Linked DNA regions of Caenorhabditis elegans. The protein of the gene in region 1 purifies or fractionates together with the protein of each later gene. This does not show direct contact. Each region holds a gene or a part of one and is shown on either strand. Other genes may lie near its edges. The genes, in order: ttb-1, T24H10.1, rha-1 and cyc-2.1.

Region 1 (4,820 bases):
GTTATGAAAAAACTGTCAACTAGAAAAATGTTCAAAAATATTTTTTTGTTTTTGGTCAGTTGGCATTTTATTAATATCTCTGCAATGAACAAAGTTATACCACTTTCAATAGTTTTTTGTTGTATATTTTATAGTAGCTCATCAGAATAGTATTTCACCACTTGCACTTCCTACTATCTTCTAAATTTCCCGTCACTGCATTGAACTTCTGAGACACCTTTTCCCTCCGATCAACTAGACTACTATTTTCTCTGCGTCTCCAACAATGCCACACTCTCCGCGCAAAAACCGACCTTTGCCCCTTGGGGGTGGGGCTTGCCCCTTCTGTCGACCGACCAACAAACATAGAGAATGAGAAGAGAAAGAAAAAGAGACCCCCCACGTGTGCGGTCTCTATCTGATGGGTTGCACTTGAGAAGGGAAACGTGGTGTTCGTATGGGGATCCTGAGCAGACTACATACAGAATTTATTGCACATGCTACGTGGCAATTTGAGCTCACGGGGCGGCAAAAAGGGATCTATTTAACACCGACAATTTGTGATTTTGCACCAAAAATACGGTTACCGGTCTCGACACGACAAATTGTTGTTAAATGCAAAAAGGTGTGCGCCTTCAAACGGTACTGTACTTTCAAACTTTTTTTGCTGGCTTCTAATGTATTTTTTATAGTGTACTTTTTGACGAATTTATGTAGTTATAAAAAATATATTGTTGTGTTTGAGTTTTTACTAATGAATCAATTAATTTTTGTTGAAAAACTATGAAAATTTACAAAACTTCCGCAGTACTCTTTATAGGCGCAGACCATTCGGCATTTGTCGTGTCGAGACCGGGTACCGTATTTTTGGCGAAATAACGCGATTGAAATCGCAAATTTTGCGTCTGGGTAATATATTTAAATATATTTATATACAATGTTTGTATATAACTATATATAATGCAATACTGCATAATTTTTAAACTCCTAAGGCTAAAAATCCTTCTTCTCCCTTTCCTGGGGCGATGTTTTTGGGGAAGCTTCTTTAAAATTTGCCAAATGAATTAAACTTCAATATTTTCTGTAAAAAAACCGAGAACGGAAGATAATTGGCTTCAAAGTGCCCGGGCATTTTTGGGCATGCCCAAAAATCTCTGTTGCCAATTAACTATTATTTGAACACCCGCGCGCAAAGCGCTTAAAGTTTCCTAGGCCACGCGACCGTGTACTCCTCTCGGACAAACAAACAAATCGAATTTTATACATTTTTTTCTCAATTTTCGGCGATTATTCACGATTTCTCGTTTTTTACATTCTTCAGAAAGTAGTTTAAACCAAATTCTCATGTTTTATCGACGAAAATACAAACTATTCGCCTAAAAATGCCCGTTTTTACAACGCTTGCTGGCCATTTCTCTTTGAACTTTACTTCAAAATAAAACAAAGTCGCTATAAAACTTGTTTTTTCTTCATAAATCCTAAAAAAATCCCGTTTAAATTCCCTCCAATTTTCGCCCTGACACTAAACAGGGCGCGCTAACGACACTCCGTTTCTGGCTATTTAAATTGTGTTTTTTTTTCGAAATGCAAAATGATGTGCGAATTTCGTCGGAAATTTTAGTTTACAGTTCACTATAGTGTAAAAATTGGTCATTAATCGATTTAAAAGACTTTTAAAAAGAAAAAAATGACTAGGATATTGGCAAAAAATCGACTTTTATTCGAATTTCCTTCATTTTCACCGTTAAAAATCCGAATAAACTCGAAAATGTTCAAAATTTCAGCAGAAAATGTCGGCTCCAGTCCAGTGTCCGATCCATCCAGACGTGCATTTGATCGAAGATCACCGTGCCGGGGATCTGGTCTGTCCGGCGTGCGGCTTGGTCGTCGGTGATCGGTGAGCCTTAAAAATATATAATTTCCTGCAAAAAATGATCTTTAAATCATTTTTAAAGCAATTAATTTAACTATTTTTCAGTCTGGTCGACGTCGGAACCGAATGGCGTTCATTTTCCAACGAACGTAGTGGAAATGACCCATCTCGTGTCGGAGCACCGGAAAATCCGCTGCTCAGCGGCGGAGATTTGAGCACAACTATCGCCGTGGGCTTTGGCGGCTCCGACAGTGATAATAGTTTGGCGAATGCTCAAAGAAAGTCAATGAACAATACGGATCGTCAAATGACCGCCGCGATGAGCCTTATTAGGGAAATGAGCGAGAGAATTCACTTGCCAAGAAATATTCAGGTAGAATATTGGATTTTAACTGAAAAATTCGATGAAAAATGTTGGGAAATTCGTCAAAAAACAGATTTATAATCTCAAAGCAAAGGAATCACTTTAAAATTGGAATAGAAACTATAAAAATGACATTCTTCCTGGATTTTTGCTGAAAACACACATGAAATTGTAAAAAATCTCAATTTTGAACGATTTCAGCCGGAAAAAATTAGCGAATTTAGACATTTTTTGAAAGTTTTTCTTTCACTTTTGGACAAAAACAGCTGTTCAACGCTTAAAAAGTTGAATAATTGTCAATGAAACCTGAATTTTCCCGAAAAAAAAAAATTTAATATCAAAGTTTTAGTTTTTTCCGTAAAAACTCAAAGAAAGTTGTGAAAAAACTTAATTTCAACCTGAATATTTGTAAAAAAGCAACGTTTCTATGTCATTCATCGATTTTTCGAAAAAAAAAGTGGAAAATGAAGGTATCCACCTTTTTTTCCAATAATTTTCCATATGAATAACGTCTTCACAAGGAAAGTTTTGGGTAAAATCTCAAATTTGGAAGATTTTACTCTGTAAAATCAGAAAATTCTTTTAAATTATTGTTTTTTAATTGAAAATTCAAGATTTTCACCCATTTTCTTAATGATGCCGGCATTTTTCATGCAATTTTCTGATTTTTTTCACCTATTTTCAGTGACTAGCGCACGACGTGCGCTATGCCTTCGGGAGTGGGGATAGGGTTAGTTCGCTCTAACGTATCAGCAAGGTAGCTGGCGTAGGTTCTCGGCTTCGCCTCAAACCTGTGTTGGGGTTAAGTGTGTTCACCTTGAAATTAATAAAATATTCTAAGGATTTGTTTCTTTTTTACATTTTAAGAATTATTTTGCGGCTCCGGCGCTGAGTTTTCAGTTTCTCTAAGATTGAAGAAACATTCTAATGTAAGGAGTTGTTTCACATTGAAATATTCTTAAAAATTATTTAGCGCCAGCGGCGCTGAGTTGAATTTTCTCTAAGATTAGAAAAATATTCTAAGCAGTTGTTTCAAATTCAAAAATTCTTAAGAGTTATCAGCGCCTTCGGCGCTGGATTTTCAAAGTTTTTTGAAAGAAAGAAACATACTAAAAAGTTGTTTCTAATTTAACACTTTGAAGTCTTATTTAGCGCCTTCGGCGCTGATTTGAACTTTTACTAAGATTGATGAAATATGCTGAAAAGATTTTTCACTTTTAAAAAGAAAATGTAAAAACATAAAAGATATTTCGAAAACTTAGGTGAGGATATGAAATGGTAGTTTTTTTTCAAAACTTTTTCATTTTTAAAGCTGGACAACATTTCCCCTAAAATTTTTTTGAATCTTACATTTTTCGAATTCAGTGTCAAATTCTGAGTCTATTCAAAAAAACAGAATTAAAATTAATCTTAAACAAACCAATTAACAAACGCTCAAAGTTGAAAAATCAAAAATCAAAAAAGGCATTAACTTTCTTCTGGGTCGATTATCTCTGTGATGTATGACTCGATTTTCAAAATTTTTTTGTCACTCGCTTAAGAAATCTTCAAGGTTTTATATATTTTGCTCAGAATCAGAATAGCTCAAACGACTGCAAAGTTCTGAGAGGGGGAAAAAAGTTTTTGGACAAAAAACTACCGTTTACTACCTACAGTACCCCTACAGTACACCTACCGTTTACCACCTACAGTACACCTACCGTTTACCACCTACAGTACACCTACAGTACACCTATTTTTACCACCTACAGTACCCCTACAGTACCTTAGCATCAACTCCTAACCGAATACCTCTTCAAAAAAAAAATTAAAAAAAAAATAACACTCGGTGGGGGTCGAACCAATGCAACGCTGCTAACATTATTTTTTCCTATTATGTTTAAAATGTTTTGCAAAATTCGCAAATTTTGAACTTTTTCATATGTTTCCAGGTAGATATTTGATAAACTGTTTTAAAAAACGAAATCTACGTACAAATTCACATATTGATGTCAAAAACCTAACAAAAATGTTGAGGTTAAACATGTTTTCCATACACTTTTCAAAATGTAGAGATATTTCAGCTGTAAATTTCAAATTACTATAACTTTGCTCACAGTCAATCAAATTGCAGAAACTAAAATTTTTTAACAATCCCAGACATACACCAATTGTTTCAAATAAATTTTGTACCATCACCTTCAACACTGTGCAAAAAAAGCGACATGACACGCGAAAAACGCCTTTTTTTGGTGTTTTACTTAACTTTTCTCTTAAAAGACATGAACCAATTACATAACCATTTAGATAATAAGATAGAAAAAATATTTTTACATATTCTGAAAAAAAGAAAATCAAAAAATATCCAGTAACAGCAAAGTTAGAGACAAAAGTGTGTGCTCAGTTTTCGGACGGTGGTTTTGCGACACGCAAAACGGGAAATCACGCAAGTTCCGAATTTAATATAGGAAGAAGGCAGAAAATTCAGAATTTTATAGCCCAAATTCAGTATTAAATGTTGGAAAAAACCAATTTTTTTCAATTTAAAAAAAAAAATCTACATTTTTAATTATGTCCTGTTTGATTGTTTCAATTAAAACAAATTAATTAAAAATGCGAATTTCT
Region 2 (3,690 bases), on another chromosome or scaffold:
ACTCCAGCTGCAGCAGATGCTGACAGAATTTCACGTTTTTTTGCTTCATTAAGACCATATTTAGGGAATAAATATGAGAAAATATTTCCAATGCAACAAGCCAAGTGGACCATTGGACCTTCTTTTCCAAGAGACAAACCAGAAGCTGACGATAGAATAAGTCCTACAGATTTGATGATAAATGTCCATTTTCCAAGATATCCACGAATCACGAATCCAGATAAAATGCATTTGATTTCTGGAATTCCAGATCCACAGGCGTAGGGAGCGAATATTTTAACGAAAAGAACGGCAAGAGTCGACATTGCAACAGCCCATCCAATATAAAATATCCATTCGAGAAATAAGAAGAGAAAACTGGATGAGTTGTAGTAATTCAGCATCCATGGCCATTTCGTCCATGCTTTACAATCATCATCCTTATAAAATGTATCATTTGATGACCAACAACAGTGTTCGTGATCCAACCAGAAACGATCCGCACACACTCCTGTCTGAAATTTTAATTTGACACTTGGATGGATTTTTGAAAACAGTTTTTATACCAAAAATTAAAAAAAAATTTATACATGTTAAAATCAATTTGAAGCTTGTTCATAGCTCAAAAATTGAATTTAGATTTTCACTTCAGATAAATAAATAACCTTTAGATCACTCATCCATCGAGCTCCAATATCGATGATTCCAGCAGTTGCACCAGCAGCCAGTCCAACAAAAAGAACGCATATCCATCCTGCTCCGGCATCCCATCCCGATTGTAGAAGCCCAAGGGGGAAATCCACTCTGAAAATATTATTTGTTGCAGGTCATAAATTCATTTAGCTTTGCATTATTTTAATGGGGGAACCCAACTAACTTTTTCTTAGATATCATTTTATGCCGTAACCGATCTCTGGCTAAATCTCTTTGCCAATCAATTGTATGAAAATCTCCATATTTACTGAAAAACGGCGGAGCCATGACGTCTGGAAGATCGTCGTCTGTTTTGAATCTGACGTCATCAATAGCACCAAATGGGTTAAAATCACTTGAAGAGCTGCCGCCACCTGAATGAAAAGTGTTCGTTAAGAAAATTTTCTATGGGAAAATTGATATTGTTTCGATCACCTGCAGTCATATCAAGGTGTATTGTAGCAGAAGTTCCACTTGGTTCCAACTCGACATCATCTGTTGAACCAAGGGTCGACGACCGACCTGCTCGTTCCATTTTCGGCTGGAATAAAAGAACAATTATTTGTTAAGATAGAAAAGGAAATATTTGAAAACAAAAATTTGTGGTTTAACATCAAGAGCTATTTTGATACCGCACAGAAGGGTAGCTGGAGTCAAATGAATAAAATGGGAATTTCACATTCTGCAACTAAAAAAGTCCCAAGAATCAATATGGGATTAATATAATCTCATAGAAATATTAATTATGATTTTAAATGGAGATGCGATAAATGGAGATGGCCAAAAAGTTAACTGAAAATTAAAAAAAAAAGAGAAAATTGATCAATGATTGTAACTTTAACTGACTGATAATTCAGGCTGTTGACTATAAACATAGCATGAAATCTCAAATACTTAACTAATAAATGTCAACATTCAGTTCGACTGGACACAATGTTAGTGCCGTGATATTTTACGAGCTCCAAAATCTAAGGGATTATTATATTTGAAACTAACAGATGAATTATATCATGAATAACATTATTTTTGAGCATATTGAGAATAAAAAGAGAAGAATCTTTCTGAAAATCGCCAAATCATCGTAACTTTCCCAGAATCCGAGACAGGTCAGGAGAGGCGCACGAGAAATGCGCCAGGTGCCTTTGCTGACGCGTTATTCGGATTATTGACGCGTTTCTTCAAATGTACCAATTTCGTTTTCAGTCAATATTCACAGATATTTGTGTTTTTTGCGCGTCCACATCTTTTCTCTCTTTATAATCCACTACATAATTAATACTCTCCGTCATTCTTTACCTTTTGTCTTGCAGCAGCTATGTCCGCTCTCGAGGAAACACAATCGTTGTGCAAGCAAGTTGACGATATTTGCAATAATGGAATGGAATCCGTCGAACAATGCAATAAGCTGCTCGACCAGTTGTCGAAAATTCCAATGAGCATCGAAATAATCCAGGTGAGTTCTACTTTAATTTTGTCCATCAAGTAATAATAAAATTGTTTTCCAGAAAACCAACATTGGAATAAAAGTGAATATGATGCGGAAAAAAGTCACAGATGATGCTGTTGCAAAGCGGGCTAAGAACATCATTAAGGTACTTTTTTTCATAAATGAAATGTAGCTACTTCCAATTATTTTTTTTCTAGGATTGGAAGAATGTAGTTGATGGAAAGAGCAAGTCACAGGATGATGGTGGTGCTCCACCTGCGAAGAAGCACAGAAAGGAAAGTGTTGAAGAGGCAAAACCAGAGAAAAAGAAGATCGAGGCTCCATATAAGCGGCCAGAACCATCTAGTCGGCCAGAAATAGTTGCTCAATTTGCCAGTGCATCTTTCCCACCGAAACATCTTGAAAATGACGAGACCCGTCTTAAATCTGCACAACTTCTACTTTCGGCACTTCGGTTTGGAGACATGCCACAAGGAACACTCGATCCAGAGGAGTTAGCTGTCCAAATTGAAGAGAAACTCTATTCGGTATGGTTTATCCTGAAAGTGAAACATTTTTAACTTTTTGATTATAGGTTCACCGTGATACAAACAAGAGTTACTCAGCAGCTGTTCGTAGTCGCATTTTCAATCTTCGTGATAAAAAGAACCTTGCTCTACGTGAAAATGTTCTCACTGGTGTCGTCCGTGCTGAAAAGTTTGCAACCATGACCAGCGAAGAAATGGCATCCGCTGAAATCCGGGAGATGCGTGATAAATTCACGAAGGAAGCTATCCTAGAACATCAAATGAGCGTCCAGCAAGGAACTCCATCAGACATGTTCAAGTGCGGAAAATGTGGAAAGAAGAATTGCACCTATACTCAGCTTCAAACTCGTTCTTCCGACGAACCGATGACAACATTTGTCTTCTGTCTCGAGTGCGGAAATCGCTGGAAGTTTTGCTGATTTTTTGAGATTCTTTCTTCTAAATTGTCTTCACGTGGTAGTTTTGCCAGATACCCCATACACACTCTTCCACGGATACTCAAATATGATTGTTATAAGTTTTCTGGCTTGTGTAATAATTAACTGATAATTTATTTGTTAATCTTCACTCTCCTCCACCCCCCCCCCCCCATATCCACTGAAAAGTGGTAAATTTGTTTGTTGATTTTATATAAACTTGTATTGCATATAAAATATTTTTCACTTTCGATAATGCCAATAGTTACTACGAGAGCTGTTTCAGCGAGCTGATAAATGAGCTGTTTAACATGATGGAAATAGCAGGACGAAAAGAATATTGGTAATTGATACGGTAGCGGTGCATTATCAAATAAAAAGGATAAAACTAAACGTGTCGACCTTAATAACCGCGTGTAAGTAAACGTGGTTTGGTTTTAAGGGGAGAAATTAATACATCCTTTCTTTTCTTTCTCTAAATTCTCTTCTTCTATCAAAGCTAAATATCTTCTTTATTTTGGTAAGTAGACGCCAGAAGCCAATTTGTGCACTTTTAAAATTTGATGGTGAGGTGGAGTCACGTTGGTGTAATGGAAAATGTGAATGGAAAGAAACGATCTGAAAGGTG
Region 3 (7,391 bases), on another chromosome or scaffold:
GGTGGTGGAGCATTACTGGCTTTTGGTCCGCCGAACATGCCTCCTCGGCTAATTCCCCATCCATTTGATCCTGTAAAAATAACTGTTAGGAAAGAAGTTTCTCCGATGAATCTTACCTTTATTCTCTTCATTTTGATCCATTTCCGAGCCTGATTGCACCTTTTCGGTCTGAAAGAAATTAATATATTCCGTTCCGCTGAAAAAATGCACTCGGTTTCCACGCACACATACAGGGAAGAAGCATGAAAATTGTGCGAGGTAGAAGCAAAAAGCAATTGTACAGTGCAAGAGAAAAGAGCCGAAACTCTCGGAACACGGACGGACAAACAGACAAACAATCACGAACACACATAGACATTAACAAATCCGACCACCTTTTCTGGCACTTCAAGCCCTTCCGATCGACACTGCTCGTCGAATGCAATACCCCAATCAGCCATTTTCGATCTGTTATGAGAACTACGATAATTCATTGTTAGTATTCAGGACAAATTAAAGATCGGAACACGAAATTGAAAAGAAAACATGTTGAGGCGAAATTTGGGTCGACACATGAACCCGAGAAGGGAGAGATTGCAGAAAGAAGATAGTTCTTTGGTTCATCGACAGGGTAGGAAATAGTTATTCTAGAAGTGTTTTCTCTATTTTGCCATTGATAATGCATGTAAACACATTGTTTGGTCAGGGAAGTACAAAATCTATCTTCTTTTTAGGGCATTTTTCCACAAAATATATGAAATTTAACTTTAAAATGTATTTTAAACATTTGAAGTTATAAAAATGACGCACACATGAAAGATAAATAGAATAAACAAACAAAAAATTAGGATCGACGCCAATAAAAACATCTGAAATTGAGATGAGCAATTTCGAAAATGGGTACGGTTGACAGTACACCGTACACAGTAATGCACACAATGCACCAGATCATACGACAAACATATCTTAATATTTAAATTTAGGATTTTTAACTTGCAAGTATCATGATATTCTTGCTAATTGTTATTTTTTAAAGAAAATGATCACTCACCTGTCTACTGGAATGGCTTTGAACAACGCAAAAACACCGCATGACCATCAAAAAGAGTTACGCGACAAAACTTCAGAGATAATTTACCTTTCAACGAAATTAAATCACGCCAAAGAAACATGTGTGAATCTGGATAATGAACGTCAGAAGTTTCGAGAAGTTAGCCGAAAAATCAAAGAGGTTTGTCTGTAAAACAATAATGCAAACTGAATAACTTATTTTCAGAAGGATATTGATCCAGTTTGGATATACAATGGAACGTGCTTCCTTCAAACAAGCCAAGCAAATAGTTTGAATATTTTGGAGAAAGATACGAAAACTGTCGAAGAAGTTCGTGGACAGATTCAAGAAGTTATCAAGGTAAAATAAAAATATTAATTCGATAATTGAATTGTTTTTTTACAGAAAGACATGGACACATTTCTCAAACTACACAAGAAGCGAAATCTAGAAGAACGTGGTTTCGGTTTAAAGCCATTGCTCAAAGACGGAAAATTAACTGATTAAATTATGAAATATCTGAATACGGGTCAATGAATTGATATTAAAATACTTAAATTTGTATTGTTATCCTGTTCTTGTATATCCGAGTTTAATTTCTCGTCTCTTTATTTGAACTATTCGCGACTTTTTAAATCTTGTTAAATATTATTTTTAGATGTCCAGAGACGTCAAAGAATTTCTATATGCTTGGTTAGGAAAGAATAAGTATGGAAATCCGACGTACGATACAAAAAGTGAAACCAGGAGTGGTAGGCAGAGATTCAAATGCGAACTTCGGATCACAGGATTTGGCTACACTGCTTTCGGAAATTCCACAAACAAAAAGGTTCGTGCTACTTGGGAAATCAGTTTTTATCAAAAGTTTTCAGGATGCTGCTACCAATGCTGCTCAAGATTTCTGCCAATACCTAGTCAGAGAAGGAAAAATGCAACAGAGTGATATTCCGACTCTAACGTCTTCGAGTCTTGAAGCTTCTTCCACGTGGCAAGATTCTGAAACTGCTACAATGTTTTGTGGTGGAGAAGATGGCAACTCGTTCCAAGAGTCACAGCAACCAATTCCACAAAAAAGATTTCCTTGGAGTAACAATGCATATCAACGTAACGAGGGCACACATGAACAATATATTACACAGAAAGCAGAAGAAATTGCTGCATCGGAAACTGTTGATCTAAAATCAGAAATTCATGGAGGATGGACGATGGAGAATTCAAAGAAAGCGCTGAATGAGTTTCTTCAAAAAATGAGACTTCCACAGGTTAACTATGGAACCAAAATTCGAGAATCAAACACCGTTAAGTAAGTTTTTCATATTAGAAGAATTACTTCATTTTTTTCATACCAAAATATTTACAGAACAATGGAGACGACTGCCCAAATCTTTGTTCCTCAAATCAACAAAAGTGCGTTCTTTTATCGTCTTTTATCCAAATAAAAAATGAAAATGTTTACAGATCTCGTTGGAAAAGGTACTGGATCTAACAAGAAAGTTTCTGAAGCGGCGTGTGCAATGAATATCGTTCGTCAGATGTTCCATCTCAATATTATGCAATCGTACAGTGGACCAATCAAGAAGAGTAAAGTCAGCACGGTTAGTTTTTCTGAGTTTAAGTTGTTTTGAAGTTTATTATATTAATTTTCAGCTTCCTGAAATTGCGATTTCCATTCCAGAAGATCTCTCAACTCGAGTGACAGAATATGTTCGGTCGTGCGGTCTTGAGTTGCCAGAAATCAACGAAACGAGTGCAACTCCGGAAGCTCCTACCTCACTGCTCACGGATGTTAAACTAGCGCAGTTCCCTGTTTCAGAAATTTGTTCCGCTTCGAATATCTCCTGGGCACCTCCTCTTCAGAATTGGAATCCATGGAGAGCTTCGAATATCGATGAGGAACCATTAGCTTTTGTAAGTTTTTTGATTCAAGCGAATAATTTAAAATTAAATTAAATTCAGATGTCAATGGAGCAAATTAGTCAGAGAATAATGGAAAAAGAGGATTTCAAGCGAGGTGAAGCACTTGACAAAATAACAGCTCAACGTGGAGAACTCCCTGTCGCCCAGTATCGTGAAAACATTGTACAAACCGTCGCAGAAAATCGTGTTACACTGATCAAAGGAGAAACTGGATGTGGAAAGAGTACTCAAGTTGCTCAATTTCTACTGGAAAGTTTTTTGGAAAATTCTAATGGAGCATCTTTCAATGCAGTCGTCTCTCAACCTCGTCGTATTTCTGCAATTTCACTGGCCGAACGTGTCGCCAACGAGCGAGGAGAAGAAGTTGGAGAAACATGCGGATATAATGTTCGATTCGATAGTGCAACTCCTCGGCCATATGGATCTATCATGTTTTGTACTGTTGGAGTCTTGCTGCGAATGATGGAGAACGGATTACGAGGAATTTCACATGTAATCATCGATGAAATTCACGAACGGGATGTTGACGTGAGTGTTGAAACTGCACATCAAATTAAAAATCTTTTTTTTTCAGACTGACTTTGTTCTTATTGTGCTCCGCGAAATGATTAGCACATACCGAGATCTACGTGTGGTACTCATGTCTGCCACCATCGACACTGATTTGTTTACCAATTTCTTCAGCTCTATCCCAGATGTTGGCCCGACACCAGTTATCACGATGCATGGAAGAACTTTTCCTGTACAATGTAAGTTCTGGATAAAAATAGTTATATTTAAATTAATTTAAAATTTCAGCATTCTACCTGGAAGACATTCTTCACAATCTTCAGCATATGCCTGAGGAACCAGATCAAAAGAAACGGAAAAAGGGAGGACCACCTCCACCAGATGATGATGAAGGAGATGAAGAAGTGGATGATAAGGGTCGAAACATGAATATTCTAACAGATCCATCAATCAACGAATCACTGAAAACAGCAATGTCAAGAATCTCTGAAAAAGATATTCCATTCGGTGTGATCGAAGCTATTTTGAACGATATTGCATCCCGCGGAGTGGATGGCGCCGTTTTAGTTTTTCTTCCCGGTTGGGCAGAAATTATGACACTTTGCAATCGACTTTTAGAGCACCAAGAATTTGGTAAATTTACAAATTAAAACTTCAATCAAAATTATTAATTTCCAGGCCAAGCTAATAAATATGAAATTCTTCCACTTCATTCTCAATTAACTAGTCAGGAACAGAGAAAAGTGTTCAATCACTACCCAGGAAAGCGGAAGATCATTGTTTCAACAAATATCGCTGAAACAAGTATTACAATTGATGACGTAGTCTATGTGATTGACTCTTGCAAGTAAGTATTTTTAAAAAAGATCACCGAAATCTTTCTTTTTTTTAGAGCAAAGGAACGAATGTATACATCGAACAACAATATGGTTCATTTCGCAACTGTCTGGGCATCAAAGACAAATGTAATTCAAAGAAGAGGGCGCGCTGGTCGTGTTAGAGCTGGATACGCTTTTCATTTATGCAGTAAGATGAGATTTGAAGCACTGGATGATCACGGAACTGCTGAAATGCTTCGGATTCCTCTTCATCAAATCGCTTTGACAATCAAACTTCTCCGTCTCGGATCCGTCGGTGAATTCCTTGGAAAGGCTCTTCAACCTCCACCGTATGATATGGTCGTCGAAAGTGAAGCAGTGTTACAAGCGATGGGAGCTCTTGATCGTAATTTAGAATTGACAAGTCTCGGAAAAATGCTCGCTCGTATGCCAATTGAGCCTGTCATTGCCAAAGTGCTTATTCTTGGAACTGCTCTTGGTGCAGGATCTGTGATGTGTGACGTGGCATCTGCAATGTCATTTCCAACTCCATTCGTTCCACGAGAGAAGCATCACAGCCGATTGAGTGGTACACAGCGAAAGTTTGCTGGAAACAAGTTTTCTGATCATGTTGCAATTGTCTCTGTGATTCAAGGATATCGTGAAGCCGTTCAAATGGGTGCATCTGCTGCTGAGCGCGAATTCTGTGAGCGATACTCGCTGAGTAATCCTGTGCTCAAAATGACTGAGTAAGTTGTTTATAAATTCTCCTAGAATTAAAAAAAAAACTAAATTCATTTTTTTCAGTGGAGCACGTAGACAGTTGATTGATGTACTTCGAAATCAATGCAGTTTCCCTGAAGACATTTTGTTTGATATCTCTGTTAACGTCAATGGACCAGATCGTGAACTTAATCTGATGCGTTCTCTTCTTGTCATGGCTCTTTATCCAAATGTGGCGTACTACGTTGGAAAACGGAAAGTATTAACGATAGAGCAATCGAGTGCACTAATCAACAAGTATTCTATGCTTGTTCCGATGAATAATCGCCAAGAAATGGATTTCCCAAGTCCTCTGCTCGTTTTCACTGAAAAAGTTCGTACCAGATGCATCTCATGTAAACAAATGTCAGTGATCAGTGCAATACAATTGTTAGTTTTTGGAAGTCGAAAAGTTGAATGTGTCGGAGAAGGACTTGTTCGCATTGATGAGACGTACGTTTTTGAATTCATTTTGAAAATAATATCACAATATTTTTTTCTAGTATTACAATTCGAATGAACGTTTCTACCGCAGCTGCTCTCATCGGTCTTCGTCCATGCATCGAAGCTCTTCTCGTCAAATCTTGTGAAAATCCAGAATCTCTGGCTGGCCTCAACCCATCAGATGCTGAACTTCGTCAACTTCTTCGTGACATATCTTCCGAAGAATTCATGTCCGAAGCTGGACCTATCAAAGACAGTCTACTTACAGATAATGCGGTAAAAATTTATTGTAAAACCCGTAGACTTAATAAAAAAATTTCAGTTAATCCAGAAAGGCCCTGCTCCAAATCGTCTTGAATATGCTGATTGGGGACCGTCGAACAACAGTGAGATTTTAATTTTGATTATTCAATTTAAATATTAAGAAATTTTCAGATTCATCATTCCAAAATCAAGATTTTCCACCAGGTAATTGTACACGGGGTTCGCTTTTTGTTTCTCCACTTGTCCTACCCATTTTTTGAACAACAATTATTTGAAATCACTGGATTGAGATTATTTTAATAGTGATAATTAGTTCAAAAATTAGAAAAATGTTTTCACGAATTTTGATGTTTAAACATTGAAACTTTCATCGAATTTTGTTTTTTTTTTAATAATTAAAAACATTAGGGTTTATATGATTCTCACGAAATATCCCAGGAAAATATCTTTTTCTCAAAAATTATAATAAAAAATCTGATTTTTTTGTAACTTTTTTTCAGTAAAAATCCATACAATAATTAACGAAAAACTTTTTTTTTAATAATTAAAAATAGAGAAAAAATTAAACTTTTTTTTGAATTAAAACTAACTGAACCCCCTAAATTATTAAATGTGCACAAATGCTGATCCGCTTTTGTCCCGTTCACATAACAATGCTTTTGCATGTGCGGTTTCCACATTAAACATACAATCAATTCAGCTGCTGGGGGCAAAGTGCACCCTTACCGCGGTAACAGACGCGGAAATCATCCATATGCTCAAAATCGTCCCTATGCTCCTCCCAATTCCGGAATGGGCTATCAGAATTTCAACAACTCAGGTTACGGCGCCAGTGGCGATTGGAACGCCGGACGTGGCAATTACGGCAATGTTGGAAGCGGATATCGAGGAGCTGGCGGCGGCGGCGGTTACCGAGGTGGTCGTGGTGGAAGAGGTGGTGGCCGTGGCGGTGGTGGCAGAGGATGGAATGCATCGAACTGGTAGATCAAATATATGCCTGTTGTTGTTATAACTTATGATCGTATAAGGAAATCGATCTCATCTTGTCACACTTATCAAAGTGTCGTTTTGGTTTTATTCTTTTTTATAATAAAAGTTTTGGTTGTTATTCGTATTCAAAAAACACATAATTCATTAGATACTGATATTTTGTTCTATTATGGGGTTATTCAAGTAGTGTCGGAAAATTAAAAAGTGTAGAAAAATTACGTCACAACTGTATTCAAGTATATAAAAACATGTATTTTAATACATTTGTGACGTCACAAATGTATTTAAATGCATTTTGCTACATTACTTGAATAACCCCATTAGGGAAACGGTGATTAGTTTGACACCAGGTACCAAGGCAGCTGTTTTCAGACCATGGGATCGGAAACTTTGGAAACTCATTCAATAGATTAATTAATACTTGAAATTCTAGAATCCGATGAGTTTTACTATCTTGTTTCTGGCACATAAAACTCGATTTTCTCGCAAAAAGTACGTTGTCCGTCTCGACATGGCAAATTTTGAGTTAAATGTGAAAAATAATTTTTGCCAAATGAGAGGAAATACTGTTTTACATTACTTTTACTAAGAATTCCGTATTCAGATATGTTACTGCGTTGATATTTTACGTGTTTTGATTTGAAAAAACGATAACA
Region 4 (3,014 bases), on another chromosome or scaffold:
AGATATCCAAACCTATCGCTGCCATGAATGCATCTTTATCTCTTTTCTCCGGTTCTATAGCTTCGAATTGCTTTTCAACATGTACTAAACTCGTCTCTTGATTCGCTGCAGCAAAGCATCGTATTTGATTGCTGATAACCCGTCGTGAAACATGTGCAAGAGCCATTAAAGTCTGAATATGTACAAATAAATTAATATTATAACTTTATAGTTAAAATAAAACATTTAAAATCACATTTCTATATCTTTTTAACAAAAAAATTGCTTAAAAATCTAAGGAGTAAGTGCGCTCCACCGCTCCCCGTAAATCGACGGCGAGTGTATGAAGGATACGGTAATAGAACACGCAACAAAACTAGCACTGCCGCATACACTTTTGTGCGTTGAAATTCATTTTGGGTTTTCCTGATCCTATTTTTTAGCTTTTTTCCGCTTTTCTTTTTCTGATTTTTACAAAAATTTAACAGTTTTTTCATAGTTTTTAAATATTGCAATATGCACTCATATTTTTTCGGTAATTCCCATCTACCTTTCCATTTTAAAAGAAAATTGTAACGTTATCCTAAAATTGTTTTTCGCTATTATATCAGATTGTTCATTCCCCATTCCTTGCATCATATTTTTGTTTTTCAGGGTTAAAACATGCCAACCAAGGCTCTTGGAGAGACTCTTAATGAGTACGTCGTCGTCGGACGCAAAATCCCAACAGAGAAGGAGCCAGTGACTCCAATCTGGAAGATGCAAATCTTCGCCACCAACCACGTCATCGCCAAGTCTCGTTTCTGGTACTTCGTCTCTATGCTCCGTCGTGTGAAGAAGGCCAACGGAGAGATCCTTTCGATCAAGCAGGTTTGTGGAAAATAATAATAATAACCCATTTTACAATAAAATTTTCAGGTGTTCGAGAAGAACCCAGGAACCGTCAAGAACTACGGAGTCTGGCTCAAGTACGATTCCCGTACCGGACACCACAACATGTACCGTGAGTACCGTGACACCACCGTTGCCGGAGCCGTCACCCAGTGCTACCGTGACATGGGAGCTCGTCATCGTGCCCAAGCTGACCGCATCCACATCCTCAAGGTCCAAACCGTCAAGGCCGAAGACACCAAGCGTGCCGGAATCAAGATGTTCCACGACGCCAAGATCAGATTCCCACTCCCACATCGCGTCACCAAGAGAAAGAACCTCAGCGTCTTCACAACCGCTCGCCAAAACACCCACTTCGCCTAAGTTGCGGATTATTGTTATTTGTTACAATAAATTGTTGCAAACAAATTTTTTTCTTAATTTTTCATTTTAAATTTGTGTGGTTTGAATCCTGTTTGTTCAGCTTGTTATTTGTTTACTGTTTTTATCTCGTGCGCAGCACTTGTTGATGTTATTAGATGATCATTGCAATGATCCATAAGGCATCGGACCGCCCAGCTGACTTGTGTGACTGGTAAATTTTGTCAATATTTTCAAATTTGTTCTTTTGCAATATAGATATCTGCTCTTCTATATTCAGTTCTTACGCTACTAGATCTGTAACTACATTCCTTAAAGTTCAATATCACTATTTCGATAAGGTAAATTAATTCTTAATAATTGAGATAAGTTGATAAAAATCTGGATAACTGTAGATTTTGTAAGTTGTAAGCGTTAGAAATGCGGTAAATCTCGTAGAAACTTTATTTTTTGTATTTTAAGGGCAAAACCTTTCAGATCATAGATAAAAAGTTCAACAGCGTCATTTTAGTATGTCCTCGCTGAATGATATTTCACCCAGACTCCCGAGAGCGACCGCCCGATTGTTCTATGGCCTTTCTGTGTCTCTGCGTCTCCTCGCCGCCCGAGAGATGGCACAACCCCCGTTTCTTTCTCGCTATTGCATCACGGGCGGTTCCCCAAGTGCTGCTGTGGCGGTTTCTTCCTGCTAGACTCTTTTAGTATATATTTCACTAATTTCTGTATTTTAAGGGTTCAACATGTCCGATATCCCAGCTGGAGATTACGAAAAGGGAAAGAAGGTGTACAAGCAGAGATGCTTGCAGTGCCACGTCGTTGACTCGACCGCCACAAAGACCGGACCAACCCTCCACGGAGTTATCGGACGTACATCAGGAACTGTGTCTGGATTCGACTATTCCGCTGCTAACAAGAACAAGGTACAACTAATAAATTATTTCTTAACGTTTATTATAAATTAAAAATTATAGGGAGTCGTCTGGACCCGCGAGACCCTCTTCGAGTACCTCCTCAACCCAAAGAAGTACATCCCAGGAACCAAGATGGTGTTCGCTGGACTCAAGAAGGCTGACGAGCGTGCAGATCTCATCAAGTACATCGAGGTTGAATCCGCCAAGTCCCTCTAAATATTCCCCTAAATGTTCTCGCCTAGCTACGGCAATTTTTCATAGTTAGGCACTTTCGATTGTTTTACTTTTATATATTGCACTAATTTTGTGTCATTCTCATTTTTAGTAGCAAGAATATACGTCAATTTGGAAAATAAATAATTTTCCTAAATTCGTTTTCCTTTTCCCCACAGTCGCATCACAGCAGGTGTACACTCTTCCGCTACCATAGCAACCAAAATGGGCACCAATGCACCAAGAAATCGGAACGAGCTTTTTGTCATGCATCTTCTTGGATTTATTTTTCTTTTAACTTATTGTTCGGCTGATACTCCAGAGGTTTGTTATCCGTCAGTTGTTCGGCACCGGATTGATTCGATATTTCCAACTTCTCGTTTGTTCTGCGTCTCCAAGCAAAATGGTGGGCTTTTTTTAGCTGAACGCGAACAAATTACGGAGCTTTTTTGAATTTAGATGATTTGGAATATGGTGACGTGGAAATTGTGAATGGCGAAGAGCAATGGAACGAATTTTCAAAATCTAGATGGCAGCAAGATGAATCTGATTCACAAGAAAATGTAACACAATTAAAGATCTACGCAGACGGAAAATTTTGCGCCAGAAATACTGTACCTGGTCTCGACACGCTTTTGTTTGTAAAACGCGAAAAGATAA

What was found.
Region 2: the proteins of ttb-1 (region 1) and T24H10.1 fractionate together in Caenorhabditis elegans (co-fractionation; one large-scale study listed by BioGRID). This does not show direct contact.
Region 3: the proteins of ttb-1 (region 1) and rha-1 fractionate together in Caenorhabditis elegans (co-fractionation; one large-scale study listed by BioGRID). This does not show direct contact.
Region 4: the proteins of ttb-1 (region 1) and cyc-2.1 fractionate together in Caenorhabditis elegans (co-fractionation; one large-scale study listed by BioGRID). This does not show direct contact.

Annotation. Positions count from the first base shown.
Region 1 is NC_003283.11:155,062-159,881, forward strand, and holds the start of ttb-1 (Transcription initiation factor IIB), read left to right. Parts: upstream 1-1,763; 5' UTR 1,764-1,769; coding exon 1,770-1,876; intron 1,877-1,957; coding exon 1,958-2,225; intron 2,226-4,820.
Region 2 is NC_003280.10:9,097,391-9,101,080, forward strand, and holds T24H10.1 (Putative transcription elongation factor S-II), read left to right. Parts: upstream 1-1,980; 5' UTR 1,981-1,987; coding exon 1,988-2,125; intron 2,126-2,177; coding exon 2,178-2,264; intron 2,265-2,316; coding exon 2,317-2,646; intron 2,647-2,693; coding exon 2,694-3,065; 3' UTR 3,066-3,179; downstream 3,180-3,690. Other genes in the region: clh-5 (Chloride channel protein), read right to left, coding at 1-494, 645-783, 857-1,046, 1,108-1,207. UniProt on the Caenorhabditis elegans protein: Necessary for efficient RNA polymerase II transcription elongation past template-encoded arresting sites.
Region 3 is NC_003280.10:8,877,957-8,885,347, reverse strand, and holds rha-1 (ATP-dependent RNA helicase A), read left to right. Parts: upstream 1-1,688; coding exon 1,689-1,859; intron 1,860-1,902; coding exon 1,903-2,333; intron 2,334-2,390; coding exon 2,391-2,437; intron 2,438-2,488; coding exon 2,489-2,625; intron 2,626-2,677; coding exon 2,678-2,938; intron 2,939-2,986; coding exon 2,987-3,475; intron 3,476-3,521; coding exon 3,522-3,696; intron 3,697-3,745; coding exon 3,746-4,090; intron 4,091-4,135; coding exon 4,136-4,304; intron 4,305-4,349; coding exon 4,350-5,024; intron 5,025-5,082; coding exon 5,083-5,490; intron 5,491-5,540; coding exon 5,541-5,757; intron 5,758-5,803; coding exon 5,804-5,867; intron 5,868-5,916; coding exon 5,917-5,949; intron 5,950-6,445; coding exon 6,446-6,729; 3' UTR 6,730-6,852; downstream 6,853-7,391. Other genes in the region: ddx-19 (RNA helicase), read right to left, coding at 1-70, 117-168, 375-440; T07D4.5 (P53 and DNA damage-regulated protein 1), read left to right, coding at 1,019-1,210, 1,256-1,390, 1,436-1,537.
Region 4 is NC_003282.8:4,747,398-4,750,411, reverse strand, and holds cyc-2.1 (Cytochrome c 2.1), read left to right. Parts: upstream 1-1,962; 5' UTR 1,963-1,970; coding exon 1,971-2,150; intron 2,151-2,201; coding exon 2,202-2,357; 3' UTR 2,358-2,508; downstream 2,509-3,014. Other genes in the region: Y17G9B.5 (Evolutionarily conserved signaling intermediate in Toll pathway, mitochondrial), read right to left, coding at 13-166; rpl-18A (Large ribosomal subunit protein eL20), read left to right, coding at 643-849, 898-1,233; tctn-1 (Tectonic domain-containing protein), read left to right, coding at 2,580-2,760, 2,814-2,917.